2 linked regions of the Styela clava genome follow. Each later gene encodes a partner of the first gene's protein in a complex. Links are inferred from orthologs where the notes say so. Each region holds a gene or a part of one and is shown on either strand. Other genes may lie near its edges. The genes, in order: mediator of RNA polymerase II transcription subunit 24-like and mediator of RNA polymerase II transcription subunit 25-like.

What was found.
Region 2: mediator of RNA polymerase II transcription subunit 24-like (region 1) and mediator of RNA polymerase II transcription subunit 25-like share a complex: the UniProt entries of both Homo sapiens proteins name them as parts of the mediator complex. The link is inferred for Styela clava from reciprocal best matches to the Homo sapiens genes MED24 and MED25.

The regions. Positions count from the first base shown.
Region 1 is NC_135252.1:17,328,897-17,345,794, reverse strand, and holds mediator of RNA polymerase II transcription subunit 24-like, read right to left. Parts: upstream 7,768-16,898; 5' UTR 7,668-7,767; intron 6,484-7,667; 5' UTR 6,473-6,483; coding exon 3,407-6,472; 3' UTR 3,352-3,406; downstream 1-3,351. Other genes in the region: delta-1-pyrroline-5-carboxylate dehydrogenase, mitochondrial-like, read left to right, coding at 7,891-7,940, 9,309-9,492, 10,044-10,247, 12,821-12,976, 13,326-13,400, 13,754-13,941, 15,694-15,816, 15,931-16,075. UniProt on the Homo sapiens protein: Component of the Mediator complex, a coactivator involved in the regulated transcription of nearly all RNA polymerase II-dependent genes.
Region 2 is NC_135258.1:20,073,341-20,090,223, forward strand, and holds mediator of RNA polymerase II transcription subunit 25-like, read right to left. Parts: upstream 7,341-16,883; 5' UTR 7,239-7,340; coding exon 4,125-7,238; 3' UTR 2,785-4,124; downstream 1-2,784. UniProt on the Homo sapiens protein: Component of the Mediator complex, a coactivator involved in the regulated transcription of nearly all RNA polymerase II-dependent genes.

The sequences.
Region 1 (16,898 bases):
TAACGGCAATGCAGCTAGCGTTAGATGTTAAATGGACGTATGAAAAAATGATCAATAAGACATAACAATATAGTAGTTCACCCTCTCTCGCTGAACTAGTGGAGTAAGTAGGAAATAGGGTTAGTTCGGATATCTATAATCTTTACTATCCGGATATTTTGTAGTTTATCTATTTACTATTTGTTAGAGAATTGACTTCATGAGATTTTTATGCTAATATATACAAATACATTGTACGAGCATACATATAAATAAATCATGGACATAATCATGCATTTTTTGGTGAGAAGTATCCAGAAAAGGCTAGTCACATCGTAGACAAAGTTCACTGAAAGTCGATAGCAATGCTTCAGATACTTCAGGAGGGCTTGACAAATAAATGAGGATGGAAGAAAGGTTGAGAAATCACCGTCTACTGTCCGGTGGTAAAAACAGACAAATTGTGTAAGCCGCAGAATAGGGTTTCAGAAGAGTGGGATTTATTGCTAGTTCAGCAATGCATTTCGTATCAAGCACAACGCATCAATCTCGTAGTCATGCGAACGAGGCCAAATTTAAGATAGGACCGAGGTCATCCACCACCAACAAGGCTCGATAGCCTACTTGGCGTCGATCGTGCAGTATTGTCGTTGTGCCCAGACCGGAACCAAAACACGTCCAAATTTTCCCGACAATTTACCGGAATCCCAATGTCAAATACAGCGGCAGCAAAAAATAGTCATCACCAAAACCGCCATTCTTCAGACTTTCCCATTCTCACACCCATCCCTTCAAGGTTTTTCAATTTAATTCGTATACAGCAGAGGTATTACCTTCCTAAGTGGGCCACTTACAGATAGAGATGGCGGAAATGAGTCCGGATTCGATTCTCGAGGTTAAAACTTGGATTGAAATAAATGTGTAAAGTTTTGTGGCAATTTCTTCACATATTTGTATAAACTGCTTCACTGCTATGTTTAGTTGCTGCGACGACGCAAACTTCACTTCACTATATATAATATTTCGATTGGTATGTTAGTCTTTGATTTCGATAGAAGGCTTTAACGTTTATTTATTTTAAAATCTCTGTGGGTTCCGAGGGATTCGTTTTTTTGTGTGCGATTTTGTCTCTTGTGACAGATTGGATACCCATACTACTTAGTTCCGGCCTTCTTGGCAGTCCAAAATTTGAACATCGTGCTCTTGTTTGATTTCATATGGTATTGCTTAGGTGGGTATGTGTTTTCGGTAAGATATGTCGAGGAATCGAGAATCGGATTCGAAAATTTAGGAATCGGATAAGAATCCAATACTTTTAAGTACTCATACTTGGCATCCTTACTTACGGATAACAGACTTGGTCACTGGGCCGGAGGTTTAAAACTCAATATGGAACTATGAATGCAAAACGTAATTTGCTGTTCTCGGGCGCTCTACTAGGCAGAGACGCTAGAGTTTCACAACGATATAAATAATTCGGATGGGTGAGTTTGAGGTATATGTGACTCGTTTTGCACACTATATTCAGGTGCAAATACCACGCGGGGAGTTACGGTATTTATTTTAACCTACAGCCTTGGCCGTGATTTCAAATATCTATAGCGATAAAGCCCTTCCAAATTGTACTAAAACAATCCGACTCGAAATGCAGGCGTCATGTACCTCATGGCGGATCTCACTTCGTTACAGTGATTTCCCTACACCCCCTACAGAGGCTGAACACCCAGCCTGAAATTTCAAACACATTGTATTTGATTGTAAGTGTACCTAGAACCTGGCGCGTATATGGTCAGTCAAATACATAACACGTTTTTATGGGTTACAAATAGTTTTATCGGGAATAGCAAAATATTAACCACCGCTAAATTTGAGAACACCTCCCTAAACTAAAAAGTTGAAGAGCATACAGCTTCGTAGTTCTGAGACATTGGAAGTGAATTTATTCTATATGTTGCATTGCGTGTGTATGTTTGTATAGACCTTACTTGGCCAAATACATAATTTGATCAAACGTCCTTTGTACTGGCTGTTATAAAGTTGAATCAATTAGTAAAATATAATCAATTGCAAAATGACCCTGCCCCTAACCCTCTCGATTGGCATATCGACTTTTATACTTGCAGGCCGCGACGGTAAAATTTTTGATGCTCATTTTGAGAGAGTTTTCGTGAGTTTGTTGTCCGAATAACTAATATTCCCAACAATTTAGAGCTTGTAAGCGAGTACACTTCTTCAAAAACACAATTTAGCTTTAAAATATTACAGCTACTGTCGAGAAAAAGTACTGGCAGTTTATTGTATTCTATCCTAGCTTTTTCGTGACTGGTTTTGCTTACAGAAAAAAAACTGAAACACTTCCGAAGACAGTTGATGATATTATTTCAGAAAAAAAAGTCCAAAAAAAGGATTAGTGCATTTTTGTGATGCATACTCCTGGGCCAGATTGGCTTTGGTTTAAACTTTAAATTAATGGAAGAATACACGCTTTAACATCGAAAAATATAGCTCAGCACAATGTTAGGCTGAGTCAAAATATTTATCTGCCACTCTTCTCAACTTCGTTTATTAAAGAAACTCGTTGAATCTACCACGTGATCTATTGAAACGATATGAAGAAAATTAGCGTTGGATGCTCGTGCGGTCATTTGATCGATTGCGATCACCACAAAACGTCACCATTTCTGGCCTTCCCCCTTCAAAATGAAAGTGCAGTCAGTCGATTGGCGCTTCGTGCTAAGCGTTGGTAATACGCTCGCCACCGCACCTCTCACGAGTGTGCATCCCTATGATAATAATAATTATATGCGAGAGTGAGACTGGACTCCTCGCCGTTGCTGGATTGTTCACATAATCGCTGGTCGGTTACAGCTTGCTGCACAATTAAGTCCATGCATCTGAAACCAATAACTGGCAAACAAGAATATTGATCGGAGATCGAAGACTTATCGATCGAAACTGCGGTTTCGATTCATGAATCTATAGTGACACCGCGTGTCTCATCACTAATTAATTAATAACTCGCTAATTATACGACATAATTCATCCAAAATCAACAGGCTTCTGGTCCGAGATATGATAAATGCATATGCAAAATTTGGAGCAGATTCAACCACGACTTCGTGAGATATCGCGTGCATCTAACAGACAAATACCTATCAACATACTTGCCGATCTAGAGATCGATAAGTAACAATGCTAGATGCAAGATCCCGGACATGGACTGGTAAACGGATGGGAGGTCATGGTCCAACCGGCTTTCTCTCCCCGGGATAAATATGTAAAATCTATTCAAATTGGGATGACATGTCAAATATTTTAAACTGCGCTGAGATTTAGGGCTTGAAACCAGATATACTCTCGAAACACAAGCCATTTATATTCTTTGATATCATATATATTTTAAAGAGCATGTTCCAACATGATCGACTTATTCGGGAAGAACCATTTGACAAATTGCCTTTGCAGCCACTTTTCTGCTGAAAGTGTGGCCAAGGTCAGATACAGATAACACAAAATTAAAACTATCAAATTCTTTATCAAACTTGGAAATTTTGAAAGTGCCATCACTAGCCATAGCAGCCAGTTCTGTGACCATGGTTAATGGCATCAGCTGCAAAACAGCTTGAGAAACCAATTCGCCACACAGTGATGCCAGATATACGAAGTAAACTGCAAAGTCAATATGAGGACCGGGTTGTCGTTCAGCAAGCGACATATTCATAATATCTAATGCGTAACTAAGTGCTCTCAATACTGGTTCTCTTACATGAGAATGCTTAGACTGAGCTGTGGCAGAATTTTCGCGGCCAAGTATAGATGAAAACGCACTTGCTGCCAAATCATGCTCTGCAGTCGAACTGAAAAGTCTTCGCAACTTAGTGGGTCCGACTTCATCTTGGAAATGTACTTGATGAGAAGCCAATGACTCTTTTCCAGACATTAGAAGTTGATGCGATAGCTTTTCTTTTGCTGTTTTTTGTGAAAGGCAAGCTTTTTGTTGTAAAGATATATTATGAAGAACTATAGCAAGACAGCTAACAGCAAGCTGTGCTAAAACATTTCCTGCAGGAGCAGAGAGAATCATGTGATCAGCTTCATCAGTCAAATAGTGCGGAATTTCGTGTCTTAACAAGCAAATGACAAAACTCTCAACATCTAACAAAAATATTCCACCCACAACAGTAGCTGTTCGTTCAACAATATCTTTGCGAGTTTGTGACAACAACTGTGAAACAAGTTGATGGCAAAACCATTTGGCACCGGACCGCTTCAAAACAGCTTCAAGTCGACAGAGCATATTTCTTCCTATCCAGCCTGTCTCTCTGCACTCTGTTATTAAATCGGAAAGAACATCAGCTGGAAATTTCACAGGCTCGTTATCCTGTGCACCAGGTAGGTTTGAATTTGGCATCAACACTTCCAATATACCTTTAAACATGTTTGTACGTTTTGCTGCATGTATTTCTTGACCGGGTGGCGATATAAATCCATGCGTTGAAAGTTTTTCAACGACTTCTTTCAATTCCTTCCAGAATAGTTTTGGAACGGTTGAAGCATATTTGGCTACTTCAACAAGACAAGTCAGTCTGATAGACAATGATAATATATTACATATGACATCACAGGCACCCAACACATCTGCTTTGCTCACAACTTTGTACTGCCATGCCTTTACCAATTCGATGAATGCTCTTGGCAAATTGGTGCACATCTCATGCCATTTTTTTATACTGCACGATTGTTCTTGAGTTCGTTCCCTTTTGTTTTGTAACAATTCAAGATACATTTTAATACGAGAGTCATCAACATCAAGTTCGCTTTTACTATTTCTCAATATTTGACCTCTATCATCAGGCCAGTAAACAGATATCCAGTTGTATAGAAAGTATTTACTAGAATCCATGTCTGCCATAGATCCTAAAACAACGTTTTTTCCATACTGTTCAGCAATTTGGCAGACTAGAAAATGCGTAAAATCAAAAAGAAGACATCTCATTTGTGCACTTTTACCGCCTTCGGCAGTGCTGGATTTCACAACATCATTAAACAATATTAATTTTTTAGCAAACTTTTGTACATTGTGTGTGATTGAGCCACTTGCCAAGATAATATTAAAGTTACTTGACATTTGACTCAATGTAGCAAGCAAATTTTCTTGTTTAGAAATATAATCAGCAGAAGTGTCTATGACTGAAAGTAACTGACGGGCAGTTGCCTCGTATTTTATCAATTTGCTCGGTTCTACTGCGTGTGTTGGATGCTGTGATGAAACTTTGGCCATGCTGAGTCTTCGTGTTTTCAGCTCTGTTGCAGCATCTTCTTTTAATATGCCGAAAGATAGGCAACGATCAATGAGCCAACTTAGGCAATCACAATTTCCAGTAATTTGGTCTAACACATCTAGAAGACTGTCATATTGCAATAATTCTGAAAAAGCACTTGCCGTCGCATCTTCAAAATCTGTTTCTAAAGACAGCTTTTTAAAATCTGAACCATTTCCTGACACAATAGCAGATTTAAGTCTTTTAAGATGTTGGGGAAGTGAAAGAAAAAGTACAGATGACCATTTGTGTTTCCTATCTCCATCAATGCTGCCTAAGAATCCCATCATACAGGCTCGTATCAAGTCCAGACACAGTTCTGAAACATTGAGATCACAAAGTTGAGAGAGCAACAGCAATTGTTGAATTAAAGTATCAGGATCAGTCATTTTATTCCATTCACCTTCTAGGAGGATAAACATATTCACCAACATGCCATGATGAGATTCATTTCCTTGTATTTTTGGCAAACAGAATACTGCAGATGTTTTTGTATTACAGCGAGCAAGTTGAGATACACTATTACATGATACATTAACATCATTTTGCATGTTATGTCCAACAGCAGCATTTTTAATTACAGCGAGATCAGTTTCAATATGGCTCCAAACACTGCTCTCCTCAAATCTTGCAATAGTCAGAAGAGATGCAGTTCTCGGTAATGTAGTTAAGGAATGCAAAGTTGAGCAGTTTTTCTGAATTTGCAAATTCTCAGCTTCAACTCCAGAAGTTCCTGAACCCCTTTTTAAATATTGTTCAATATTTCTCAAAAGCCATTGCAAAATCACAAGCAAAGCTTTGCACAGGCCCATGCTGTCTTCTAGAATTTGTCCCTTGTTTAGTTTTTCTATATATTTCATGAGTATATTCAAAGTATAATCCATGCTAGCAGTGTTTTGAAGATCCTCATGTTTAGAAATGGCAGTCAATATAGCTGCATAAGACAAAGTCCCCGATTTGAGTCCGTAATTAAAATAACTAAGAAGAACTGTATTAGGTGTGCTTCCGATGAATGCTTGAGAGAAGAGAACATCAGCCATATGAAACATGTCAACAACATTCCCTGGCTGTAGTAATTTTCTCATTGTTGAAGTCCATTTCTGTTCACTCCATCTTTCTTTCCAAGCATTAAGAACTACATTTTTGAAAACGGTGTGAACTGACACCTGCATAATTTTTTGACCTGCAAACAAATCAAATAATTAAGTACATATGTATAAACTGAAGTCTTCTATTCTATTCGAGTTTTGTAAAACACTAACTTCTTTATCTCTTTTTTTTTTTTTTTTTAAAGGTCCACGTTGTGGATTCATAACAGTTTTGTAAAAATAAATAAATGATGAAAAAATAATAATCATAGAACATAGTTACATATAATAAACAAATATATTCGTAAACATCATCCAGTATTATCCAGCAATTCATATTATTCCATTGTTGATTCCAGATAAAGTTTCCCATGTTTATCAGTAAATATACATTAATTTATATGTTTTTAATTTATAGCAGAAAAATAAAAATTTATACAATTAGTCATAGAATCTTACAAATTATGTCTAGTTCTTTTATAAAACTAGGATTATGTCTAAGTTGTTCTATATTTCTCCTTGCTAAAAGGGATTTTCTAATTCTTGTTATGACACTATTTACACTTGGATTAACATTTTCAAAAATAACTGCATTACTTTCTAACCATATTTTATATCTTGCAGTACACAGAAGAAGTATGACTGCATTACGTTCAATTAATGATAAATGTGAAAAACACTGATTATTTAGTTCTAGTAAAATACATGTTTTATAAATATTTTTTAACTCGCAATTGTTTATTTTTAATACAACTGAAAAAACTTTTTTATCTCACTAGGCTATAATCCATCTTAATTAAAACCACTGGACGGTACGACCAACATTCATAACTCGTAATATTTTGTGATAATCCTCCAAAGTACAGATGGGAACAAAAATCCTGTGCACCATCATGCGGAATAATATTTTTGACATTTTTTCTAAAATTGGAATACACGACAAATGATTCAAATGTATGTAATTTTTAAACCAAGCCAATTGGTTCAATTTTTTGTTGGTGGCTGTAAAATATCTTTATAAGTTTCCATGTCAAATAATTAGTACCTCCGGCATTGGTCCAAGAAAATCTGTCCGAGCCAGTGAGCCAGTTTTTTTTTCTCTCGTTACGCATTTAAGTTGCACCAAATTTTTTTAAAAGGAAAAAGTACGAGAAAAACAAAAGTTCTAAACAAAACAAAATAGACACTTACTTTGAATAAAAACTACCACTCTGTAGCAAAAAACAGCAGGATAATTCATTGCTACTACAATCAAATTATTAATAGATTCCTAACCCACCTAAAAATATTCCTGTGGCCCATAAAGGAGGGGGAGGCCCAGTTGAAGCAGATCCGATAAATGGGCGTTCCGCGTTTCTATTATTTGATTGGCTGCGAAAAGCCAAACCTACGGACTGTCAACACAGCGGATTTCCTTGCGGATTGACCGAATCTGCATTTGAGTGTAGCAGTTCGCGGTGCAACACGTTTTGTTTAAACTGTACGGCATTCAGAATAGCGCAATGTTGTCTTCTGGAAGAAGGATAATATTTACCGGGTTAAAGCAACACAGGTGCGTAATTTTTAATATCAATACATATACTTTGAGGCTTCCAAAAATTTGCTATAAAGAGAGAAGTGTTCCAGTGCTTCACTCCTGCACTCAGAGCGGGTCTCGTGTAGTTTCGTACTCGTACCTAACGTACTTTTAGTAGGCGTAGCATAACAATTTTTTGACATGCCAATCCTGACCCTCACCTGACTACGCCATCCGAAAATTACATCACTACAACGTCACAATCACGTCATAGAGCTTGCCAAATACTCGTACGATCGCCCGAAATAGCATCGGTGCCGACGATAAAGAACTGACTAACGTCAGCGATCTCTCTCCTATCAGGATCGTTGCGACGAGAGAAATGGCTGTTCGATTTCGGGTTCTCGTCTGCGCGTCTTGGATGACAGTTCGCATAGTTTGAAGAGCTCTATTACGTCACTGTGACGTCGTAGTGACGTAATTTTTGGATGGTGTGGTCAGGTGGGGGTTACGATTAACACATGAGAAAATTGTTATGCTACGCCTACTAGAAGTACGTTAGGTACGAAACTACATGAGACCCTAACCTGACTACGCCATCCAAAAATTACGTCACTGCGACGTCAAAATCACATCATAGAGCTTGCCAAATACTCGTACGATTGCCCGAAATGGCATCGGCGCCGACGATAGAGAACTGACTAACGTTAGCAATGTCTCTCCTATCGGGATCGTTGCGACTAGAAAACGAGAGAAATTGCTGTTCGATTTCGGGTTCTTGTTTGCGTGTCTTGGATGATAGTTTGCATAGTTTGAAGGACTCTATTACGGTTGATAGTCAGATAGTTACGGTAGCCACTGATACCGTACTTCATACAGTTGCTAAACCTGAAGGACTGGCATTGTGTACTCAATTTATTACATTCTGGTAAAAGCTGTTAGGTATCGGCTTTTTTGGTACCTGTACTTACTGAATTAAGCTGTTGCATCAACTTTTCTATATACAGATATTCACCGAAAGATATAAAAAATGTTATCCCATGGTCTTTTTCATGCTATTTCCCACTGTTTGTGCTTTAGCAAGTTGGTCAATTTCTTTGTACGAGTTCCTAAATTTAAATTATGTGCAGATAGATTAGATATCTCTGTATCTGCAGATTTTTTGTTGTTACAGAACAATTCCTGAGTTCTCATAGCTGCTGGTCTTTCTCCCGGAATTTATAACCAAACATGTTTTACTGTTTATTTCCAATTGATACTGATATAATTGAGTGTATAGTTCAATCCTTAAATAATGTTTGTACAGTAGTAGGGCAATACTTGACATTTTACTTTTTAATACAGCAATGGTCAATACAAAATATTTGCTAAGCATTTTATTCAAAATCTTTTCCTTTTTGAAAGGTTACAAATAACTGCGAGAAGTCTATCAGTTCAGAATGAACCGATTTATGACTTTACTCCTGGATCAAAAGAAAGACAAGATGTTTTGGATGCTTTGAAATTAGTTGAATCTCGTGTTGAAGACATACCTATTGTTATTGGCGGTGAACATGTTAAAACAAACGACATTCATTATCAAGTCTCGGTAAGTTCGAATTGCACCAACTGTTAGGAATACACTTGCCATCGCACTTCCCGTTACTTTACATGAGTTGAATCCTGTAGGGGATGATTATATGTGAGAGGATTGCTAGACTCACCTCAAGGTGGTTCATGTTCCAACCATCCACTCGCTCAAGTTCATAATAATAGTTCATAAATATCTGGCTAACTAATTCCATACCCGATATAGACTGGTAACTGGATGAGAGGCTGTGGTATGCCTTATGATTAAGTCCGTGAAATCCTAACCTATCCTTCTGGTTTGCACTGTAAAGAAAGCAGGGAAAAGATAACGAAGATAAAATCTATTGTTATGTCTGATTTTCACTTTGATGGGATTATTCATTATAAACTGTGCACACTTTTGTTTAATTTTTTTTATTTATGTTCAGCGAATCAGCGTTAGGTTATGTAAATGTGTTGGATACTTTCAGAATACATTTGCTTTATTTTCATCGCTATTTCATATTTGACATAATTTTTTTAATATCTAGATATACCATTATACCATATTTTGTCTATGTTTTTCTACAGCCGTATAACCACAAGCAAAAGATAGCAAAGTTTTGTTATGCTTCTTCTGACCTCATAAACAAAGCTATTGAAAACTGTCTTTCTGTTCGGGCTGAATGGGAAAGAAAACCAGTTGAAGATAGGGTTCAAATATTTTTGAAAGCAGCAGATAAAATTGCTGGAGAAAAAAGAGCAGAAGTGTTGGCTACTACAATGGCGGGACAGGTAACATGATTTATATTCAACAGATTTTCATTAGTCATAGAATTTGATCTTTGTGAGCAGGGATGGCCAATTCGAATAAAGTATTCGAATGTATTCGAATATCTCGTCATTCGAATATCGGAATTCAAGTTCATAAGAATATCGGATATTTGTGTGACGTCACTCATTTTCGACGCCGTTTTCAAGATGTTTCCGTTGAATGAAAACATTCTCGATAGAAAACTTGCGCGTGATTGTTTTCATCACTCATCAGCGTAACGTGTTATTTAGGCCCGTAAACGCCTTTACGATTGTGTTATTTTCTCTGAAACGAAAATTTTCCACAAATTTGTTCCACGATAACGATAACATTTATTTTATTTTTGTATGCGCACGGAATTGTGAATCTGGTAAATACGTTCATCGGCGGCGAGTTTCTAAAGACAACGCAACTTTTTGATTGAAAAGCGGCAATTTAAAATACTGAAAATAAAACCGTGAACAACATAAGTTTTATTGAGGCCCGGGAAAATTTAAAAAACGCTTTTCTAGGCAGTGAAAATCGCAAAATTCGTGTGCCTCTGGCACACATTATGTTTGGTCGGCGTTTAGAAACATATCGTCACTAATTGAGGGCGGGATTTGCCTGATTATCCATTTAAATTGCCGTCGAATATTTTCGTGTTAACACGATACAAGGTTTGAATGAAACGCGACTTTTTCCCTGGTTGTGAGGATGTATATAATATAATTAATCTAAAGTATATTCAATCAATTTTATTGTGATGAAATAAATTTTACTCTGAGATATTTTACTCTGAGCATTTCGATCGAGCGGAGTCACTGTTAACAAGTACATCTGAATATTTGCCGAATTCGCAAAATACGGATAAAAACAATACTTAATCGGACAGTTTACCTCACGTTTTTATTTTTATGGCCGTGGTTTGCAACGGTATATAAGAGTGGTTAGGATTTTATTTTGTCGACGCAACCGCAGGATAAATTGAAGACAATTAAATTAATAAGAGCAAGACATTTTAAATATGCCCGTGTCGGTCACGAATTCATCACTTTGCACAACAGAAAAATATATATTCGTTGTTATATTATTTGTTGTAAAAGTCGACTCTTCTAACAGGTGGCATAATCGCGGCGATGAATATGTATTTCTAATTTACTGCTAAACTTTATATGTATATTCATTGTATGAAATGAATTATTCTCTACACTTAACATGAATTTATATAAATATTTGAGATTTTTCTAACGGCGATAACGAGTTGGCAAGATTGCAAAAATACATATTAAAATTAAATACATCAGGCAGTTTATCTCGTAATTTTCGGTCACAGATTGCCGTGGACCGAATAGTAATGTTTTTTTTTTTTGACGTAAGAAGAAGCAACCGCGAGTTATGTTGGACACATTAAATTAATATATAAAGATATTTTAGAATCTCGTAGTTGTCATGGATTGAATATTTTACCTAACAGAATGATCATTATACGCTGACAAGACGGCTCTTTTAACAAGTGCGGAATCGCGGTGGGTCTTACAGGCGGCAATGGGAATTTCCGATTTCGAAAATCCTGGCTGCGCGCTGGCAGTGGTGGTCATCTATTCTCTACTAATTTATTTCCAACTCCAAACACAACTATATGTTACACATAATAACAATATGGTTCACATAAATTTATATACAAATATACTGGTAGGTAGTAGAATACTCAAGGCTTAAATATTAGAATTTTTAAAGGCATGATGGATTTTCGATTGTTGTTGCCTGTATTGCCAATAAATTTAATTACTCTCAGAAAATATACACAATTATCTGAATGCAAGTAGTATTTTTGTCAATAGACTCGACTATTATCGTAATATCATGATACCAATGATAGAAAGCATCAGACAACTCCTTGGCTATCTTTTCATATGGTCATTTGTACAAAGTGAATAATTTTAATAAACTGACTGTGTCACAAGTTGCTATTATTTTTTATTAATAGCTATAAACTATCAATTACTTTGTGTACATATACTGTTGGTCTGTGGCTTCATTCTGATATTTCTATTGATGCTTATTTCCTGATTTAGTGGGTTTTAATAAACTAAAACAAAAATGTGTTATTTTCGATTTTAGAATGTATTCGGAATTCCAGATTCGAAAACATTATTTTAGAATGTATTCGGAATAGTTTAGTATTCGGAAATGGCCATCCCTGTTTGTGAGCGAAGTTATGGGGAGATACTGAAAGATATAAATAAATTGTAAAATCATAGATAAATACCAATTGACACGAGACTTAGTAAAGCAGTTCATGCCTATACAATCAGGGAACAGCTTTGAAGTAGTGAATCCCAGATAACTGAAGTTTTTGTCAAAAAACTTGGGTATAAAGGTTTTTTGGTCCGATAAGTACACTAACAATAAATGGGTGAGAGATCACAGCCAACAGAGGTTATCCCTTGGAAATGTATAAACGAAGACACAAATACCGACTAATGTCAATTAATTAATTAACATAACCCAAATTCACTTTTATATTTGATTATAGATTAGCTTACTTTTTATTTATGAATTCATTTTCCAGGGTAAAAGTATCATACAAGCAGAGATTGATGCCGGTCCGGAGTTGGTGGATTTCTTCAGATTTAATGCAAAATATGCCCTGGATATGGTTCAAGAACAACCTATTAGTCCAAGTCCAGATGTATATACGAATACCACAGAATACAGGGGCCTTGAAGTAAGTAAAGTTAACATTCTATCAAACAAGATATGCTAATTGAGAAAACTTAAAACTGTCAAAAATGTTTTATTCTATCGTAGAGAGACAGGAGACAACCAATACATTATTTGTTTGAACAGAAAGCTGCTATGTTTGTTTATACTTGAGTCTTGATCTATTTATGGTTCTTGAAAACTAATGTAAGGTTTCCAAATTCTTCTTTTATGGGTTATGTTTATTCGAAACGAGAAGATACTGCTTTTGAAGTGAACAGAATATATCTAGTTCGACATTGCATGAACGTTTCAAATTTTTGATGCTACTATAATAGTAAGGACCTATGTATCATGCTTGTTTTATCCTACAGGGATTTGTTGCTGCTATATCACCTTTCAACTTCACAGCAATTGGGGGAAACTTAGCTGGAAGTCCTGCAATGATGGTAAATATACTTTCACTGTTTTAATGCGAGCCAAGAGATAAGAAAAATTCATATCTTCTTTGTCATTTCTTTCTTGGACAATGATCTGATGCATCTGTAAACGTATCAAAAAGAGAAAGAGCTCATTTGGCGCGTAACTAAGTAAACAATGAGTAAAATAAAATCTATAAAAATAGAGCCTACTTGAAGAAGAGAAGTATCATAATTTTTCTGACTCTTTGGTGGTAATACGGAAAAATCCTCATTTAAAGTGAAGTCTGCTTATTAGCCGGAAAATAGGTCTTATTGCTATTGAATTTAAAATGTTCCCTTATTGTCCTAGAATATATTCTTACTTTCAATCTTCCTTTTAGGGAAATGTTGTACTGTGGAAACCAAGTGACACAGCTATGTTGTCAAACTGGACTGTTTACAAAATATTAGAAGAGTGTGGACTACCCCCTGGTGTTATACAGTTCTTGCCTGCTGATGGACCAACCTTTGGTGACACAATTACTGCTTCTGAGCATCTCGCTGGCATAAATTTTACAGGGAGTGTCCCGTGAGTTATACACTATTTTTGTAAACAAAATTATCATAATCGTAAAATGTCAAATATAGGCGAGAAGCGTTTACGAGGTGTGGCTTTTGCTACAATGAGTAATGTGTTTGTGTTAATATCTCGCTGGTATAAACTTTACAGGAAATGTCCAGTGAGTTACACACAATGTTCATAAACAGAATTATCGTGATCATCAAATGTAAAAATATAGGCGAGAAGCATTTATGACATATGTCCTGAATCAATTTTGGATTTTACACATTCAGAGTACTAAGCATTTTTCGTTGTTAAGATAGAACATAATGAATCTATGGTTATAATTTTTCATATGTCTTCAGAATTAATTTTGGTACCCATTTCTTCTGCTTTTGAGAAAGACGCCATTTTTATGTCCTTATATTCAAGCATTGTTCTATTTCTATAATGTTACTCGTTAAAGTATCGGATAGAGCAGGGGTGTCAAACTCGTGGGTTTTCGAGGGCCGCATTGCATTTTGGGAATTGTGCAAAGGACCGCAAATAGTTTTTGATATATTTTGATAATGTATACTTGAAGCCTATTTTTAAAAAGGTATAGTTTGTGACATATATTGTAATGCAAAATCTTCTCGAATTTAAATGCCATTTACATATTAATTTTTGCATTTCGATATTATTGCAATTTTCTGTATTTATTACAAAAAATCATAAATTTCTATGTACAACTATCCAAAACATTTTTGAACAAAGTTTTGATAAGAAAAGAATAATACATACACCAAAAAGTACCTAATCTAAATATATAAGCCTAAAATTTACAAAAATACTACAGAATAAACTGTTTTTTTTTTCGTTCGTTTGCAAACGTTTGGCAGCTCTTCTGTGCCACAGGCTTACTAATATCAGGCTGAAATGATTTTACAGTGCCAACTCTAATTAAAGAGGCCACATGATCATCGATTATTCTGGATCGTTGAGAATGTTTGATTCATTTCAGTAATACAAAAATATTACGTTTATCATTGCATGTATAGATCAGTAAACAAACAAATGACTGACTTTTCAGACTAGACATTTCCTACCATCACGTGGCATACGTGGACCGCTTGAGCTATGATTGATATATATTGATTTTCAGTAACTAGGTATCCTTATAATTATGATATATATGTAATATACAAACACATAAAAAAATTTGTTCAAAGTTGATCTTTAAAATTGTCATATTGACTGCTGAGCTTCTATACTTATGTCTATATTGTATTGTATTCTTTCACTGTAGGCCTACTGATGGAAATGTGACAAATCAAACAATGTGCTTTAGAATTTTGAGAAATGTAGAAATATTGCAACTCCCATTTTTTTCAAAAATGCCACCTTCTTCATGTACTTTGCATTTTATTTAATCCTTGAAGTGTTTTTTTAAGTTATCTTTTGCTAGCTTGAGGTGTATTCAATTGCAAACAAAAAAAATTTAATTTTCCAAAACTACTTTCACAAATTGTGGTTTTCTGTGTGAATAATCGATTTCACTTTATTAGAAGGTTTAAAAAATGTATTAAGTTTAGATAAAAAAAACTCACAAAATATTATAAATATTGTTAAGCGTTCGAGGGCCGCATTGGAAGTGCTTTGGGGTCGCACGAGGCCCGCGGGCCGCATGTTTGACACCCCTGGGATAGAGCACAAAAATGCCCTGAGAACGATTGAGCCTACTCATAGCTAGATACATGTATATTCGAGAATAATATTCAATGTTGAATGTTCTTTCAGGACATTCAGTCGTTTGTGGAAGCAAGTAGGAGAAAATCTTCACAAATACAGAACATTTCCAAGGCTGGGAGGTGAATGTGGAGGAAAAAATTTCCATTTTATAAAATCTGGAGATATCGAAAAGTGAGCTTTTTTTCTATCCTGGTCGCTATGTTAATAAGTATATTAGCTATTCTAAAAGTGAGTTATGTCAATTATTTGGATATGTATGTAGACTTACTCTAAATTTCATTTCAGCATTGTCAATGGAACTATCCGTTCAGCTTTTGAATACAGTGGTCAAAAATGTTCTGCATGTTCTCGGGCCTATATTGCTGAATCTATGTGGCCAAAAGTAAAAGAAGCTCTTGTTGAGGCGCAGAAGAAATTAAAAATAGGGAATGTAAGTTGTTCTGAATATGTTAGATCAGGAGTTCTCAAACTTTTTAAGCCGCACCCTATTTCTAGAATTTGTCAAGTCCCACCTTAAAAATAACTAGCTGACAAGTGACAATAAACTACAAATAGCGGATAGTAAGGCGAAAGTATGTTTTATTCAAAAATCATGTTGAAAATACGTGGATGGAATGTAAATATCCAAAATAAAGAAATGTGAAGATCCAAAACAAGGCGGGACAGATCAAATCTAAGTAATATGCTTATTTTTAATTGACTTCATGCTTTCTTTGTGGGACACACTCCACCGTTTGAAAACTACTGTGTTAGATAAAACATGTTTCTGGAGGTAAAATAGCATTTCATCTCTCAAGTTGCAGTTTGGCAGTAAATTGTGCCTTTACTGTGTCTTCATGAATTTTATATTCTTTTGTTATGGGTATCGGCAAATCCAATTATTAGATCGTCTATTTTTAAACAATCAGAAGGGCTAGACCAGGGGTTCTCAACCTTTTTTCTGTCAGGTACCCCCCGAGCCACGAAACAATCAACGTGAACCCCCGGTAATCAGACACCGGACAAAGTTTTGATATATTGATTAACAATTTGTTGCAACAGCAATTTATTGACCAGATGTAACTAAATTAAATCTTCGTGTTGAAATTATTGCCCTTGTCCTCCACCTAACTACCGTAATGTATTTTTAAAATCTCTCCCAAGTTTCAATAAGCATAATCACTTTCTCCGATGCTCGCAGCACATTGTCTTTGGAAATTTCACAGTTTGCCTGCAAAGCCGTGAATTTCACATTGTTGCGACACAATCACAAC
Region 2 (16,883 bases), on another chromosome or scaffold:
TATTTATCTGTTGAACCGAGTTTAGCAAACATGAGTAATTTTTTGGTATTTCAAAGGAAAATCAGGCAGAAATGAAGTAGAAGAGTTAAAAGTTGCCTTTATTCTTCAGGCCTTAATGTTTTCAAACATTAAAACGCATAAAGTACACATTAACGCCCACAAAATTGAGTTTTATTTAAAGGCAGCAATTCTTTTTCTGTGTGAGTGTGCTATGAGTTTTTTCCCTGATAATTTTTGCGCCACACAAACAAAAAGTTTGGGGACCACTGCTCTAAGGCCTTATTATACCGCTACCAAAGTGCAACCATATTATACACTTTATTTGGCTAGCAATGTCTGCAATATTATATGGTAGGACGTTTTTAATGTTGAAGAAGGAAGGGGAGAGGAAAGTCTATACGATTGCCTAATCATATGACGAACAGAGGTTCGGTGGCAAATGTATTCCTAACGCTTAGCACAGTTCGCCATCTTTGCAAAGTTCTAGAAAAATACACATTTAAATAATGCAGTACAATTTTGCAATGCAGTTCACATGATTCTCTAACCCAGTGACCAGAAAAGTATAATAGTGTGCGAATAGTGCGAATAGTAGTAGTACTAGTACTAGCTATAGGCCTAGTAGTACTAACCCAATGTCGAGTAAATCGTGTCAAGTACTTTTCCAATACAGCTACCAACGAAAAAACGATGTAATAACCAGTAGCTGACTCCATGGAAAATTTAGCTTCAATGTTGTTGCTATGATACGAAATCGCTATAAGAAACTCAGCTACATGCATGAGTGATTAATAGGATTTACCCGTTTATCCCGTGAAAAGGAAAGCCGATAAAACGGCTTAATAACGTGGCGAACCACCGCCTCTTGTCCGGTTACCAGTATGATTGGGACCCCGGGAAATCCCGATCCCGAAATCCCGGGATTTGGACTGTTTTTTTTCAACCCCGATCCCGCAATTATTTCCTAAAAATCCCGAGATTATAAGATTTTGTTATTCAAATATGGATATTCTCACAAATGATAGGTTATACCGTAGTAGTATATATTTACGGTTATATCAATTTACCGTCCACGCTTACAGTTTGAGTAACAACTGTCCACGCTTACAGTTTGAGTAATACCAGGTATATTAGTCGTTGGTCAGACCGTAGATTTTATATTGTTATGCATTGTCTCTGGTCAGACTAAGCAGAATTATTGTGCGAAATTTTTCTCAATTGTACTAAGGAAATATTATTCGACTAGTAGAATTTTCATTATTGACGACTCATTTAATCATAATTTGAACTTAAAATAGCATTCAGGATTTACGCAATGACTTTGTGCGTTTTTATTCAATCAATCAATCACTATTTAATACGAAAATAAAACAGCCACATTAGAAAAGTGAAATCAAGAATGGCAACCATCGTTTTAACAAATATCCGCATTCCGGCGTCAGAAATTATCTTTTCAGATAGTTTCTGCGGCCTGAGAAGTCGAATAAGCGTTTCGACATGGTAAATGATCTATGATCTTTGTCATCAAATTATGACAAATATCGTTGTAATGAAATACAGTTTGTTTGTCACTTCCATTTCTCTCGCCAGTATCGGCAATAACACTATTGAATGATTTTGGCAATGGGAGAAACATATTGAATTGTAACAAAAATGAATTAGGTTGTAAATAAGTGAGAATACATGTGACAAGCAATAAGGGCGTAACGTGGAAGGGCGAGCAAAACCGAAGTGCGTGATCAGCGGTGCGTCTGAAGACCACGTATTACCCGTGCGGCCGGGCAACTTTTACAATAATGTGAGGTGCTCCGAAGACGCTCTCGTTTACATTAATGTAAGAAAACAGTTGTAATATCGGTAACTATCAACCATTTGTTCTCGTTCGACTATCGCACTCTTTATGAGTAAAAAATTTTCATGTTTTGTGTGCCACGGATATTTAAAGAGTTAGTAAACACATTATATAAATATCGAACCGTATAAACATACGTGATGTAGATATAGTTGGATGTATGTCGATACAAACACGAAACCAGAGATGGTCAAACGTATTGCAATTCAGGCTTTATGCAACATAAATAAGGACAAAACAACGCAAACCGCGATCTATTTTGATTAATAATACTTCAATTGCATCTGAATTATGAATTTTAATGTTCGAAAGATCACATTTTCAAGACCAGCGGTTTTTGTCACGACATTCAATAATCAACCATAATTGAATAATTTCTTTATCATGTTTTTGAAATACTCATTTTGCAGAAGTGCAGCAAACCTATGAATGTGTTGTAATGATTTTTAAAATCACATTGCAACTTGTTGAATCTTGCATACAAAATGTAGTAAATTTTTATGAATCTGTAATATCGTAACTCCTATTTTATCTGCCAATAGTATGTGATTGCAAAGAGGGGAAAATGCGTGCTAACGAAATATCGTTTATATCCCTGCGAACAAATTTACTGTTAATCCATGGATATCATTTAAATTTTCTCAATCACCTTAAATCAATCTGCAAGCGATAGAGATAATTTTGGCGGTCTAGTTTACATTTACTGGAAAAAGATTACCAAAGTAACTACGGTAATTAAATAACTCCTTGTGCTGTTAAAAAAAAATCATTTCTCTTGCCAATCTGATTAGTCGACTTCTGGGTATATGATGATACCGTTGATTACGCTGCGCATAATGAGAACCAGACATAAAGCAGAAATTTTACTCAATGATTCTGAGAGCTGCTCAACCGTGATGAAACGGACAAACTTGCTGTTATAAATAAATTACTGCTTTCAAGAGAATTATATATTATATGTATATTCACACATGAATCTACACGAGTTTAGCAGTCTACTGCAAAATTATGTTTCAAGAAAAATGCTTGAAAAATTACACAATTTAATAACTCACTGAACAGGTAGTTCGCAACTAAAAATTCTACTGTCCCGAAAAGCGTAGTAGCGGCTCTATGTGACGGTGGCTGATTGCTGAAAAGCTTGTTTGAAGGAAAGGTTGAAACTGGGTCATAAAATATACCCTAATTAAATATCATAAAAGAATAAAAACGTAAATAGAAATAAGATTAGTATATACAACAAAACAGCAGTTGAAAACAAGTGATCAGGCCAGTGTCCCCCATCATCAAACTGAGTGTGACATGTTAAAACAAAAACTGTTCACACTCAAAATATTTTTTTGGGAAAGGCGATATCATTTGATTGAACTCAATATCTCCATTTCAAACTAGTAACGCCTTAAAAACTTCATGTTGACCGTATTTTTTTTTTAACTAGATTCCGACATAAATTTAAAATCTCAAATAGCGGAACATGGACAGATTAATATTAATATATTAGCAAAAAAACACCAACCCAGCTTTTAAATGGCATTTAACAGAGCGAAGTTGTAGGCCCTAATTTGACCAATATTGTTCAAAATATGGGAATGATTCAAATTGGCTGTGGTTGCTACCGATGGATTTTATAAATAAGAATAGTAAGATGGAGAAGTAAATCAATTGAGTTTTTCTAAGAAAAGAACATGATTCACAAAACAATTTCAAGGAAAAAATACAAAAACAGAGCAGTAACTCTTTTTGGCAGTATCTCATTAACATATTGAGCTGATCTCATTGGGGTAATCGAAGGAGTAACCTAAGCGTAAATAAAAAGCTCTAGAAGTATGTGTACCAATATGGAGATGACTAAATTTTGTTTGCCTATTTATATCAAGTTGTGTAGAGGGGAATAGGCACTTGGCTAACACAGACAGTCCCCGAACTCTTAATAGAACTAAGATAAGAAAAAATCAGCATGAAATTAAGGCCTAACCTGGTACACATACTACAGGAGTACCTATATTGGAACACACTACCTGCTTAAAAATCAAATAAAAGAGGAACTATTATCATTGAGACTTACTGAATCAAATTGCGCGACATATTGTAACAAAAAAAGAAATCCCCTAAATATATGAATAAAGGGGATCATTTTTGAATCAATATTTACATAAAGTCATTTGAGTCAAGCAAATGAATAATTCACAGTTTGGTTGAGTGTATAATAGTTTGTCCAGATGGTAAATTTATTTTTCGCAACAAATCTCTACAGTCAGCCATTTTCGCAATGTTACTGCATATTAAACCTCTGCTGTTGCTGTTGCATTGTCATCATACGTGCCCCCTGCATGCCAGGATGCCGCACTTGCTGATTCTGAACAAATCCAGAAGCCATGTTTTGTGGTGTCTGACGCATTCCTGTATTCATGTTTTGCATTCTTGGACGCTGAATATTCTGCCCCATGTTGTTACCGCTTTGAAGAAGCGTCCTCAATTGTTCATGAGATCCAGGACCTGACATTTGACCCACCTGGCGTACTTGATTCTGCTGCTGTTGAAATCTCATTCTTATTTGCTGCCTCATAGGGTCATTATTTTGGTCTATTTGCTTCTGAACTAAATTTCTTTGTGGATTAATATTATTCTGGTACATAAACTGCTGATTTGCAGATTGTTGCATATGTGGCTGATTTATGCTGTTCTGTGTAATCTGTTGTTGTTGTTGTTGTGTTTGCTGTTGATTTATCATCATCGCTTGCTGATTGGATATCTGACCCGTGTTTTGCATCCTCTGACCAGGTCCAAAATTCATTGTTCTCTGGGGCTGAGAAGATTGCATTTGCATACCTCCTCTCACTTGAGACATGCCAGTATTCATTACGCTTCTTGTCATAGACTGCTGTTGCATAGTATTCATAGTCGGTCTCATGTTGGGATTTGAATTAGGCACATTGAACTGGTTTGGTGCCATTGAATGAGTATTGCCCTGCGGTTGAAATGAGCTCAAGCCTGACATTCCTCCACCCTGATCCACATTGCCTTGAAGTAACTGTTGTGCACCAGGATTGTTTGGCCGAGACTGCGTTGGTTGGCTAGGATTATGTCGAGCTATTACAGATCTGATTGTTTGTATAAAATTATGGGGATCAAGTGGAAGAACCCCGAAAAATTGAGAAGTTTTTTGTGAATATATTACTAGCATAACTTTATTTTCTGCAGAATTTTGACTCGGAGAAGGTATCTGGATTAATCCCATCCACTTATTTTTCATAATATTTGCCAGTTGTTGCATTTGGTCAAGTGGGGACATTCGCAAACTGACAGAAATATTATTCTTCATTTGATTTTTCATTGAAGTGAATACAATTTGAGGAATAAGTTGCATGTTCAGTTTGGTTGGCCACAGGTTTGCATTCAATGATTCATCTGATTGAGTTGAGCGCAACAATACCTTGCATTGGAGAGTGTGGTTAGTTCTTGCAGTTCCTTGAATTCCTTGTGCTATTTTTCTTTTTTCGGTCCATTCTAAAATGCCATCCCATGTTATCCTCATGTTGTCTGTTGGCTGTCTTGTAGCAGGTTTTGGAACATTCCCAGTGTTAAGATATGTTGATGGTAGCTCTTGCCCATGATTTAAAAGGTGGGTTGGTTGTTGTGCTGAACCACCAATGCCCATGTTTCCAGCTTGTTGTTGAATTGGATTATTCATCTGATGCATAGTAGTGACATTTCCTTGAATCGATCCTGATTGCTGAGAGGGCATAGATGAATTGAAACTCTGTCGAATGCCACGGTTTGGTGGGAAAGAATTTGATGATGAAGTAAATGTATTAATATTGTTTGACAAAATTTGTTGATTACTTTGCATTCCGGAATTTAATGCATTAGGAGTACTGTACGGCTGCGCCTGCTGCATGTTTGAAGGTACAGAAGAGAATGTATCACCTATGCGTTGAGTTATTTGTTGATTTCCTAATCGTTGCTGTTGTTGCTGGTCTTGCATGGATACATTCTGCTGTTGAGTTTGTTGGTTGTACATTCCATCAGAATTTTCAGGAATAGTGGCCGTTATTCCTCCCATGCTGTTTGTAACCATGTTGACACTACTATCTGAGGGTTGTGGGAACGAAGTAACATTGGAAATAGGTATCTGCGTATGTGACGAATGTGCATTTGGTTGCAGCATGTCCTTAAGATTTGTGGTTCCCACATTGCCAGATCCATGAGACATGACGCTGTTGTTAGATGCCTGACCAAGAGATGATCTGGAATAAGGAGAGTCATTGCCAGACTGTAATATATTTGAGTTCTTGGAATTGGTAAAATTCATACTCATGTTAGACTGCTGCGGTTGAGGTTGAAGATTTTGGCTTACAGAGAAGCTTGGCAAACTTGTTTGCAGCTTTCCAAGAGAAGTTGAATTTAAATCCTGTGCTATCTGTGTTCTCATTACAGACTGCCCTGAAGGTAATGAGTTCTGATTTGTATTTGTGGATGCTGCACCTGTATTGATTAGCTGTCCAGGCTGAGATTGTGGTACTGAAGTAGAGAAAAGTGAACCGGGAGATGATGCAATAGAAGTTAGTTGTGTGTTGTGAGTAACTGTGGTAGATGATGCAGTTTGATGTTGAGATGGACTTGGAATAGAGGAAGAACTTGTGGCAGAAATTGAATTCAATGTGTTATTTTTCGATGCATTTTTTGAATGATTTTGCTCATCTTTGATATTGAGTTTCACAGGATCACGCTCTGTAGGAAGTTGAAATCCGCTGATAAGAACAAGATGTCTTGGATCTTGAGCATAATTCATAGATGGAAGTTCATTTCGATTAGCAGAAATGAATAAGTCCTTGAGAGACCTAATTTGTTGCGGAGATATCACTGAGAGATGAATACCTTTAGTACCCATTATTTCTGCTAGCTTGCCAGCAGTGTGACCATTGTACATATAAGCTTCACTGCATGGAATATCATAAGGTGGAGAATTGCAAACCAAAAAACATACTTGCATGGAACGTTCATGGTGACGCCTTTGGGCAAGTTCATCAAACAGCTGTAGGGTCCTCCCAAGACCTTCAGACACAAGGCTAGATCGTTCACATCCTCCACCAGAAAATGAAATGGAGTTCAAACTGTGGGAAAACTCCCAAGGGCTTTGGGTGACATTTGAGCATCTTGTTACTAAATCAGGGGCACAGTCTGCAGAACTGAAGAGAACATAGCCGAACTGACTGTTGCCGTGGTTACCAACATAATCTAATGGGGATGGCTGTCTTCCGTTAAAATATTCAATTGCTGGCCCTATATAAGACTTCTTTATCTTTTCCCAATGTGATAGCATATTGGCTGTTGCCTCAACCACAACAATAAAATCAACAACTGTTGGATCTTTCGATGCAACCATGTTTAAAGGATGTGATGTTTCAAGCAATCGAGAAATATTCAGAATATAATTCAATTATAATCAAGCTGTGAAATTGAGGTAAGTATTGCATAATGTTATAACAAATAGATTGAAAGTCTAATAAATTAGCACCTCTCTCAGTTTGTAAGTGAAATACAATTTAGAAAACGATAGTTCCATAAATAGAATCGATTTGAAGCTGTGGAGTTAGTTATCATAGGAACATGGTACAGTACAGGTAACTCAAAGCTGAAACAGGTGTTTTGGGATCCTTATGATGGCAAGAACTTCTTTCAATGGAATTTGTAATTTCTTATGATGGCAATACTGTATTATCCATCTATATACCAAGACAAATAATTGCGCTCTTGAATTTCGATGGCTGTTGTACACTAACAATATTATAGTCATCAAATAACAGAATAATATTGTCATCAAACTAGCTTTGAATTTGGTAAATGCAATTTTGAATTTGAGCAACAGTTTTATCTATATTAATGTTTGTTATTATTTTGCTGAAAATTACACAAAAAAAACATAAGACTAGTGAATAGGATTAAAATAGCATCTACAGGCCTTACATGTCCTATTACAACTGAATCCATTAGAATTGAGATTGCAATTTTTGAATAGTGCAATTATTACTCTTAACACTCAACAATTTTCGAGACCCAAATTTTGGAGTCCTCCAATTTTTTTGATCAGTTCATACAAGCGTGTGATCTCCTTTCATAAATCTGAAAACATTGTATTACAAAATACCAGCTGTAAGTAAGATGTAACTGCACATACGTTTCCACAACATCGAAGGGCAGGCGTTTATTGTATGTTAGAGACGGATTTAGGATTGCGCAATGATATTCGATTATTCGGTTCCATTAGGCAAAAATATTCGATTCAAATCGAAAAATTATTCGATTTTGGACAGCCCTACTTTAAAGTATTCTACTTTTTCTATATTCAGAATTAAAAATAGTCCACAAAGTGCCTGGAAAACATACAAGTGCCCGATGTTCTGCTCAGTGGACATGTATACTAATACGGCACCTTTCGCAATACAAAATTGTGTAAAATCAATTCAAAATGGATAGAAAAAAAATTTCTATAAAGTACGATCAGTATAAATTAATAGAATTAAATCGTGTGATTTAGAAAGGGGCTCTCTCAGAATTACAATTGATACTGGATCAATTTTAGTTTGGTGTTGAGGAACTTGTATGACCTATAATGCCAGGGCTATTCTTTGTTAGCATCTGGCCATTTGTTTGTATTTCCGCTGGGGCTGAAGAACAGGAGCTGTAATTGGAGCCAAGCATACCAGTACCATAATACTGTAATAAATGGAAATACCAGAAATTTTATCAGCTCTAGGTCCTAACCATCAAATTAGTTTTTACATTTGTGTGTTTGTATTTTATAATCCGTCAATCCATATATTCTACCATTTTAGATAATACTTTTTCTTAACATTCAATTTCAAATATAAATTTCACATTAAATTTGTCGCATCTAACTTTTCATTTCAGAATTTAAAATTATTATACCGTAACTTGTTTCCCCGAATATAACAGGGTCCTATTTCAATTTTCTTTAGAAAAATACCACCAACTTAGGGCTTATATTTGGGGGATGTTTTACTAGGTACAAAATCACTAGTTTTCGAATATACAGATAGGCCTATACAAAATACAGAAATATGGAACCAATGAACATTTAAGTTACTTATCAATAACACGTTTTCATTTTATAAAAACAGCTCTCCCAGACCTGAATTTACGTATCGTACCCTAACAACTGAAGTGTATCAATTATTAAAATGTATCTGTAAGATTCTGTTGTCAGATTATTGTAGTCGTCTATTCGTTAGGTAGTTAGTGTTACCGTATCGTCTGTCTGTACTGTACCGGTACCTTTGTTTAGTCAAATTGAAGTAGCTTACATATCATATTATTTTTCTTTTTTTTAATGAAAAATACAAGATTAGATAAGTTTATTTCAACTCCATAAACAGCAGAAAGGCGATAAAATGATTGATAAAAACAAACTATTAAAATCTGATTATGAAATCACTGAATCAGGAGAGTAAACAAAACCTTGCACAAGGTTTAAAACGTACAGAATATAGGATGGAAGGTATTGCCAAAAAGAAGTGGTACTTGTTCACTCACCTAAAACTATTGAATCAAATCATTCACACTCGCACACACATACACACAACCATGGGGCATTAATAAAATTCGTAAAAAAGAGAAGCTTCAGATAAATTTGTATGGCAACCAAAAATAATAAAAATTGTTTGCCACGCCATTTAATAATTTTATGAAAATTCTCAAACGAGAATGAACAGTATTTAGACTATTATAATAAAGGACAAAAAAAAAGATTTCGCCAAGATTATTATAATTGGAGTCAAATACCAAATTGCCCAACCAAAGTTGTGTGCATGAAGAGGTGGGCTAAACCTTTTCATTCATCAAAGACATGCCAAAATATTATCAAATTGTAATCCAGATTACATCAATTACCGGTATTAAATACTACTGCATACTGGCAACAGTTTAAGTATAGTATAATTAGATTAGGGGAATAAAATAATATCAAAAAGAATCACCAACAGTAGTCTACATTATCAATATTATTTATCAAATAGTATCCTCTATGTAGCCCTGACTACGATTCTAATACTCTCTGCGGTTTGACGATTATTGCGGAACACATCAGTTCGGAAACAACATACCAGAATTAAGCCACACTGCCTCAAAACGTCATCTACCGTACCTAGGAAATCCCCTACAGGGTACTGGAAACGACGTCGCAATGAAACAACGGAATGGTGAAATTTAACTTGGCTTACTATGTTAGTTACGTAGGAGTCAATAAAACGATCCGATTTAAATTTGATGGTGGTTCCAACTGCCAAGGTTGTGTTTCTAGCAAAAATGGAACTTCAGACAAACGTTGTGTGTGACATATACCAAACAGTACCGGCTGCCGCAGAGTTCTCCTTAATATGTTTAAAAAAAAAATTAAATGAGCTGGTTATCAGTTTTTATTTCTTTGCTTTTATCAAAAGTTTTATCGTCTCTTATGCCAATGACATGAAACATGTCAATGGTTATGCTGATTGCTGAATAGGTATGGAGTCAAAATACTGATATGTTTTTATAGTTCGTTTAAATTCCATGTGTCTTTGAGCTGAAAGAAAAAGAGAACTCGAATATGATTGTTTGGATTTCCATACATTAACTCAGAACGAGCAAACCCTTGAAACTGGAGGAAAACAACTCGCATCGGTAATAGACACCATTATGAGGCAACAACACAAAGAGTTGGAAAGTGAGGTAAACAACTTGTTCTGTATAAATCTATATAAATAAACTCGAGGTCATTTTCTCCCTCTCTGTTTTTCTCTTATTTATTGTTCTTTTTCGAAGCACGTTTCTCTTGTCTTTTACAATTGGTTTACCACTGACGAGACTACGACCAGTTTTCATTGGCCCGGTAAATTCGACAAGGGTGTGATAGGATTATAACTCGCAATAACTGTTAAAACGTAGCGAGTAACGACCCTCACCGAGAATACAGGATGCTCAAAATTTGTAATCCGTCTTCATTTCGAATATATATTTATAGTTCGTAATTGATGTTTGTCTAACATGGTTATTCGCGAGCTAACATGACTGCAGGTGCAAATATTCGCGAGTAAAGATGTACATGATACAAATGAGCTTGGGTACAAATGTACGTAGGTAAAAATGTCCTTTCATGGAAATGTAGGCCTACCTGGGAGCAAATGTCCGTACGTGCAAACGTCCATGGATGCAAATGTGTATGTAAATGTACATGATACAAATGAGCGTGGGTACAAATGTACCTAGGTAAAAATGTCCTTTCATGAAAATTTAGGCCTACCTGGGAACAAATGTCCGTACGTGCATACGTCCATGAATGCAAATGTTCGTGAGTGCAAATGTCCACGGGCGCAATCTATATGCAAGTGCTAAAACTAATAGGTGGAAATTTAAGGGTGCAAATGTCGGTGAGTAGGCTACAAAAGTATTCAGGTGCAAGTGTCCTGGGTGCAGTTAACGGATGCAAATGTACGTAGGTGCCAAGGTGCTATCACCATTTCAGGTATGAATCCTGAGCGAGTATTATAAGGAAATCGAAATGAATATAATTGGTTTTCAGAACACTTGACGTTTCATGATGACACCATTTTTGGTTACTAGACTAGCTAGAGGGACTTCGCAAGTTATGTGAAAAAAAAACATTTTGGCTGTGTTGCAATATCGTGCGCTCATCAACGTAATTCATATTTTACTTTTCTTGCTAAACAGCACCGTATGTATCTGTTGAACTCCTTTTTTGGAAAGTGCGATTCGATACTTCTTGTTTTCGTCGCCTTGGATGTATGTTTCTTCCCTGTCTCCGGACTTCTGTTACTTTTGAGCGCTTTTCGACATAGTTAGCATTATAACGTGGTTAATACCTAACCGTTCGAATGCTAAAATCTCTTCAACTGAAATTCTTATTTGACAATCTCGCAGAACTTAATATTGGCTACGATTGCAAACAATTTCGTATGGTTTCAATATTTCGTTGGAGTATGTTTTTTTTTTATGGTTCCAACAAAGTGGAATTTTCAATAATTAAATATTTAATAAGACGAGAATATCGGTCGGAGACCGAAGACTTATCGATCGAAACTGCGGTTTCAATTCATGACTCTATAGTGACACCGCGTATCCCATCACTAATTAATTAATAACTTGCTAATTATACGAATAATTAATCCAAAATTAATAAGCTTCTGGTCCGAGATATGATGAATGCACATGCAAAATTTGGAGCAGATTCAACCACGTCTTCGTGAGATATCGCGTGCATCTAACAGCCAGACAGACAGACAAATACCTATCAACATACTTAACGATTAAAATAGATAAGTAACAAGAGAGCTATGCTCAAATATATGGACACGTAGCGCCACCCAATGGCAATAATTTTGATGACGTCATAGCGAAAAAAAAAGTAATAGCCTTCTGGAGAAAAATTTTATCTTCAACCACTGAAAATTTCAAAGCAATTGGTCCAGTATTCGAAGAGAAAAGCGACTTTTTAAAAACGTGTCAAAGAACAACAACAAGGACAACAAAAACAAGAACAACAACAACATAATATTGAAACGATCGTTATGTCCACTACGTGTCCAATAAGTATATATATACATTAACAACAGCATCATCAATCTTATGCATTTTCATTAAATCCATGGTGTTCCGTTGTTCATCGAGTTGATTTCACAGTTTAATTTTAATTAGTTATTTTTAATTAAACGGGAAACAGTTGCTTCTCCATAAATGTCACATAGCTGCTAGCGATTTGTCTTGAAGTTGGAGGGATTTTGAGTACAATTGCTTTCAGAAAAACTCGCGGGAAAAGGTAATAATTTGGACAAACATTTTTAACAGTAAAACTTTTTGTTGTTTCTTTTCGTATTAGGAAGAAAATAGCTCACATTGAACTGATAGGGTGGTTCACGTGACTGCTGGTCGGTTATGGCTTCCTCCACCATCAAGTCCACGCAACTGAAACAGATATCTGGCTAACTAATCCCATGCCCTACGCGGTCTGGTGATCGGACGGGAGGCAGGAATATGTAAATTATATCCTAGAATAAAATTATGTGTCGATACAATCATCTTAATAGTAAAATTCATGGGTGTTTATATTTCATAAAAAAAATACATACAAACCAAATAAAAATGGTCATTTAATACTTGCTATAAAACAAATTTAAGGTTTGTATTGTATGATGTCTGGGCTTTATCCGGTTATGATTATGCTTTCTGTCTTGGGAATGTCGTGATGTGATGAATTGAGATCGTCTTCATTTTTTTTCAAAGTTGTGTCATTCTTTTCCAATTTGTTATTCTTGTCCTAATTGTATTGATCAACTGTTTTTGGATCCATGGTTATATTATTTTCTGAATTGTTATTTTTTTCATTTTCAATCCTTGAGCGCTTTAAAGATGGGGTTACAAGGAATTTATTGATAGAACCTCTTTGCTTTTCATTTTTAGCTTTCTTTGCCTTCGCCAATGATCTTATCTGGTTAGCACCTAAACACTTGCGCCCTTTTTATATTATATTTATCTTTTTTAGAAAACAGTACAAAATTATTAATCTGAATTTCTTGAATAAAGCAGAACAGAAGAATTTAATTGCTAATGGTGACATAACGATGATTTACTGAATTTCCCATGAATAACAAATTAATATTATGAGAAATATTATTGCACTTTTTATTTTGCATTTTCAGTAGTATTTTGTACCTCATAACACAGAAAAAGACCCCCACTAGCGCGGGGTCCCTTTAAGTTGCGGGGCCCAATTTGATAAAATCGGTCAAATCGATTTGAAACCATCCCTGTGGACTGAGATAAGCGCTCAACGCCAAGCACGCCTTTGCTGACCAGCCAACTAATTCATAACAAGCCCGGTTGATCGAGAACTTATCACTCGAGATGGTAAACTGGCGGCAGGAATCTGGCAGTGTTGAAGTAAGGGGTTGTACAGCTTCTAAGCATAATTTACGGGTATTGTATTACGGAGCAGAATGAATAATAGCCGAGTATCAGAACATAGATATTCGCACTGAAGCCTTGTTTAGGCACATGTTTATTGATTGATGGCATATTCATGGTATCGCCGGATACATACTCATTCGTCTTCAATTTTTACGGGCGATACATTGACAGACTTGACTGTGTCGTTCTTTCTTTTTGTCACAATCTTCCTATAATGTAGTACAGTCTGTTTTTACTTATTTTCCTTGTGGCAGGCTACTACCAAACATGCTTTTACAGAAAAATTCATTGGGATTCCTACATTCAAACCAGCAACTTTGCGGGAAAAATAGGCCATTTTACGACGATACCTCCGCATGTTTTAATACAGCGTTTCCCAAACTGTGTTCCGCGAGCATCTTCCAAGTGTTCCGTGGGAAAGAGACCAAAATTACGACTAAATTGGTCGCCATAGCTATCTCGGGATTGTGAAGTTATCGCACAACTGGCCCGTTCGATATCGCGTCACGGTCGGCCTAAATCGGACAAAGGCAAAGGGTCAGTTCTCTTCTTTCTCAAGCTCTGCCTGGTTTTACTTGGAAATGTTGAAAAAATCACTCATGTTCGCTAAACTCGATTCAGCAGATAAACAAACTCCAGCTCGCAAAATTGCACCAAGTACTTCTAACTCCATTGTTAGGTAACATTAGAGGCAAACACTACGTAATAGAATGTAAAGAAAGAAACGACAAAGAAAGGTAAAATGAATTTATTGATTCGGATACACAGCAAAATATTCGCTGATTATTTGGTTTCTGCGAGACTAACTACTTATCCTTCTTCTATGCTTTTGTGCCGATGGATCCGTAAGCATATATTGCAAGGATGCTGTAGCAAGAGTAGAGATAACAATCCTAAATGATTCAAGAGTCTTGCTGCACACTAATACAATTATGTTTCTGTAACGTTTCGTCTGACCAAGGTCAGACTTCTTTTATCATCATATTTTAGGTATGTTGAATACAATTTTGGGGTCTCGTGTAGTTTCGTACCTAACGTACTTTTAGTCGACGTAGCATAACAGTTTTTTGATATGTCAATCCTAACCCCCATCTGATTACGCCATCCAAAAATTAAATCACTACGACATCACAATCACGTCATGAGCTTGCCAAATATACGCACAATCGACCGAAATGGCATTGGCGCTTTATCAATAAATTATCTGAATCTGAATCTGGCGCCGACGATAAAGAACTGACTGACGTTATCGGTCTCTCTCCTATTGGAATCGTTGCGACGAGAAAACTAACTGTTCGATTAAGGGTGCTCGTTTGCGCGTCTTGGATGGCAGTTCGTATAGTTTGAAGGGCTCTATTACGTCACTGTGACGTCGTAATGGCGTAATTTTTTGATGGTGTAGTCAGGTGGGGGTTAGGATTGATATGTGAAAAATTGTCATGTTACGCCCACTAGAAGTATGTTAGGTATGAAACTACATGAGACCCCAATTTTGTTAGTTTTCGCGGCGCATTTGGCAACTCGCCGCGGCGCACTAATACGGTAGTAGCGCACCTTTTGGGACCGCTGCATAACATCATTTTTCTTTATCAATTTTACCCTTTCATTTTTGGTGTTCGACGAGGCGAGATAAAAAGCGTAAGTGTTCCGTGGCCAAAAATGTTTGGGAAACGCTGTTTTAATAGATAGTTTTTTTTTACCAGTGGCGAAATTAAGAAAACCCCGAAACATTTCGCAAACGCACGTGATGTCAGTTGTCTCGTCAGACTGAATCGAAAGGAACTGGCAATTCTCAATTTCCAGAGCCAAATGTTGTAAATAAATTTTATACATTGAGTCGAGCAAATCATTTTGGATATCCTTAGATGTCCCTTTCGAAACAGTTGCGGCATCAAGATGATCTCTCAATACTGTATCTAGGGATGCGGTGTATTCCACCATATCCAAAAATACCCCTCTATTAGAAGAGCCAGCCCCTTCATTGTGCCCACGGAGGGACAGCTCGTGACAACCAATTAACTTCAAAACATCTATCAATCAACCGAGAACATGGCGGTTTTTCTCGACGTTTTGGTTGTGCCGACGAATAGAAACCGCGCGTCCTTCATCCAACTGTGCTGCAATATTAACATTTCCGAATGTTCGGTATTTTACTGCATTGTCCAGATGCTCCATAGAAGATTGATGATCCCTGGCACGCTCGAAAAGATGTTTAAGATCTCTAAAACCAAATTTACACCAACGTGAGTCACGGGCGGTAGCAAAAAGTAGGCAATAAAAACAAAAAAGTGCATTTTTGTCCTCGCTGTAACACAACCATTCGTGTTTTTTAAACCAAGTTTCTGCGCAGAATGTACGCCGACGCTTTCCTCCATCATGGGATTGTTCCAGTGAACAATTTTTTGGTTGATAAGGCCCAAGACGTTGTACCTTTAATTTTTGTTCCAGCGTCATGCTGCGAAAACGGAAATGCGAAGCCGGAAAGAAGTGAGGAGCTCAAAAGGAATGTGGAAAATCGAAAGCAAATGGACTAAAGGTCTCTAACTGATTCAAATAGCGAAACAAGCGACAAAAACGAAGGCGAGGAAACTATCAACTCTTCAAGTATAAGTTTATTTCGACTCCATAATCAGCAATAGACGATAAAAAAATAGATAAAAGTAAAAGTAACTGGTTATAGAATCGGGAAAGCGAACAAAACCTAGAGTAAGGTTTGAAACGTACAGATTTTAGATGGAAAGGTATTGATAAAAGAAGTAGTACGTGTTCGCTCACCCAAAAGTAAAAAAAAAACTAATTAAGGCACGCACGCACACACACACACACACAATCATCGAGACATGATACTGTCGGAGGCGAAAAAAGCGAACCTTGAAAGTAAAAAAGGAAGGAAAATATACAAACAAATAAAAAAAATGAATAAATTCTTTTGCCACACCAAATTAATAATTTTATGAGGATTGCCAAATTGGATACCGAATTAGTCAACAAGAGTAATGTATTGTGGATAGAAAAGTATTCCTCAAAAGATATCGTCAAGCTGATTATAATT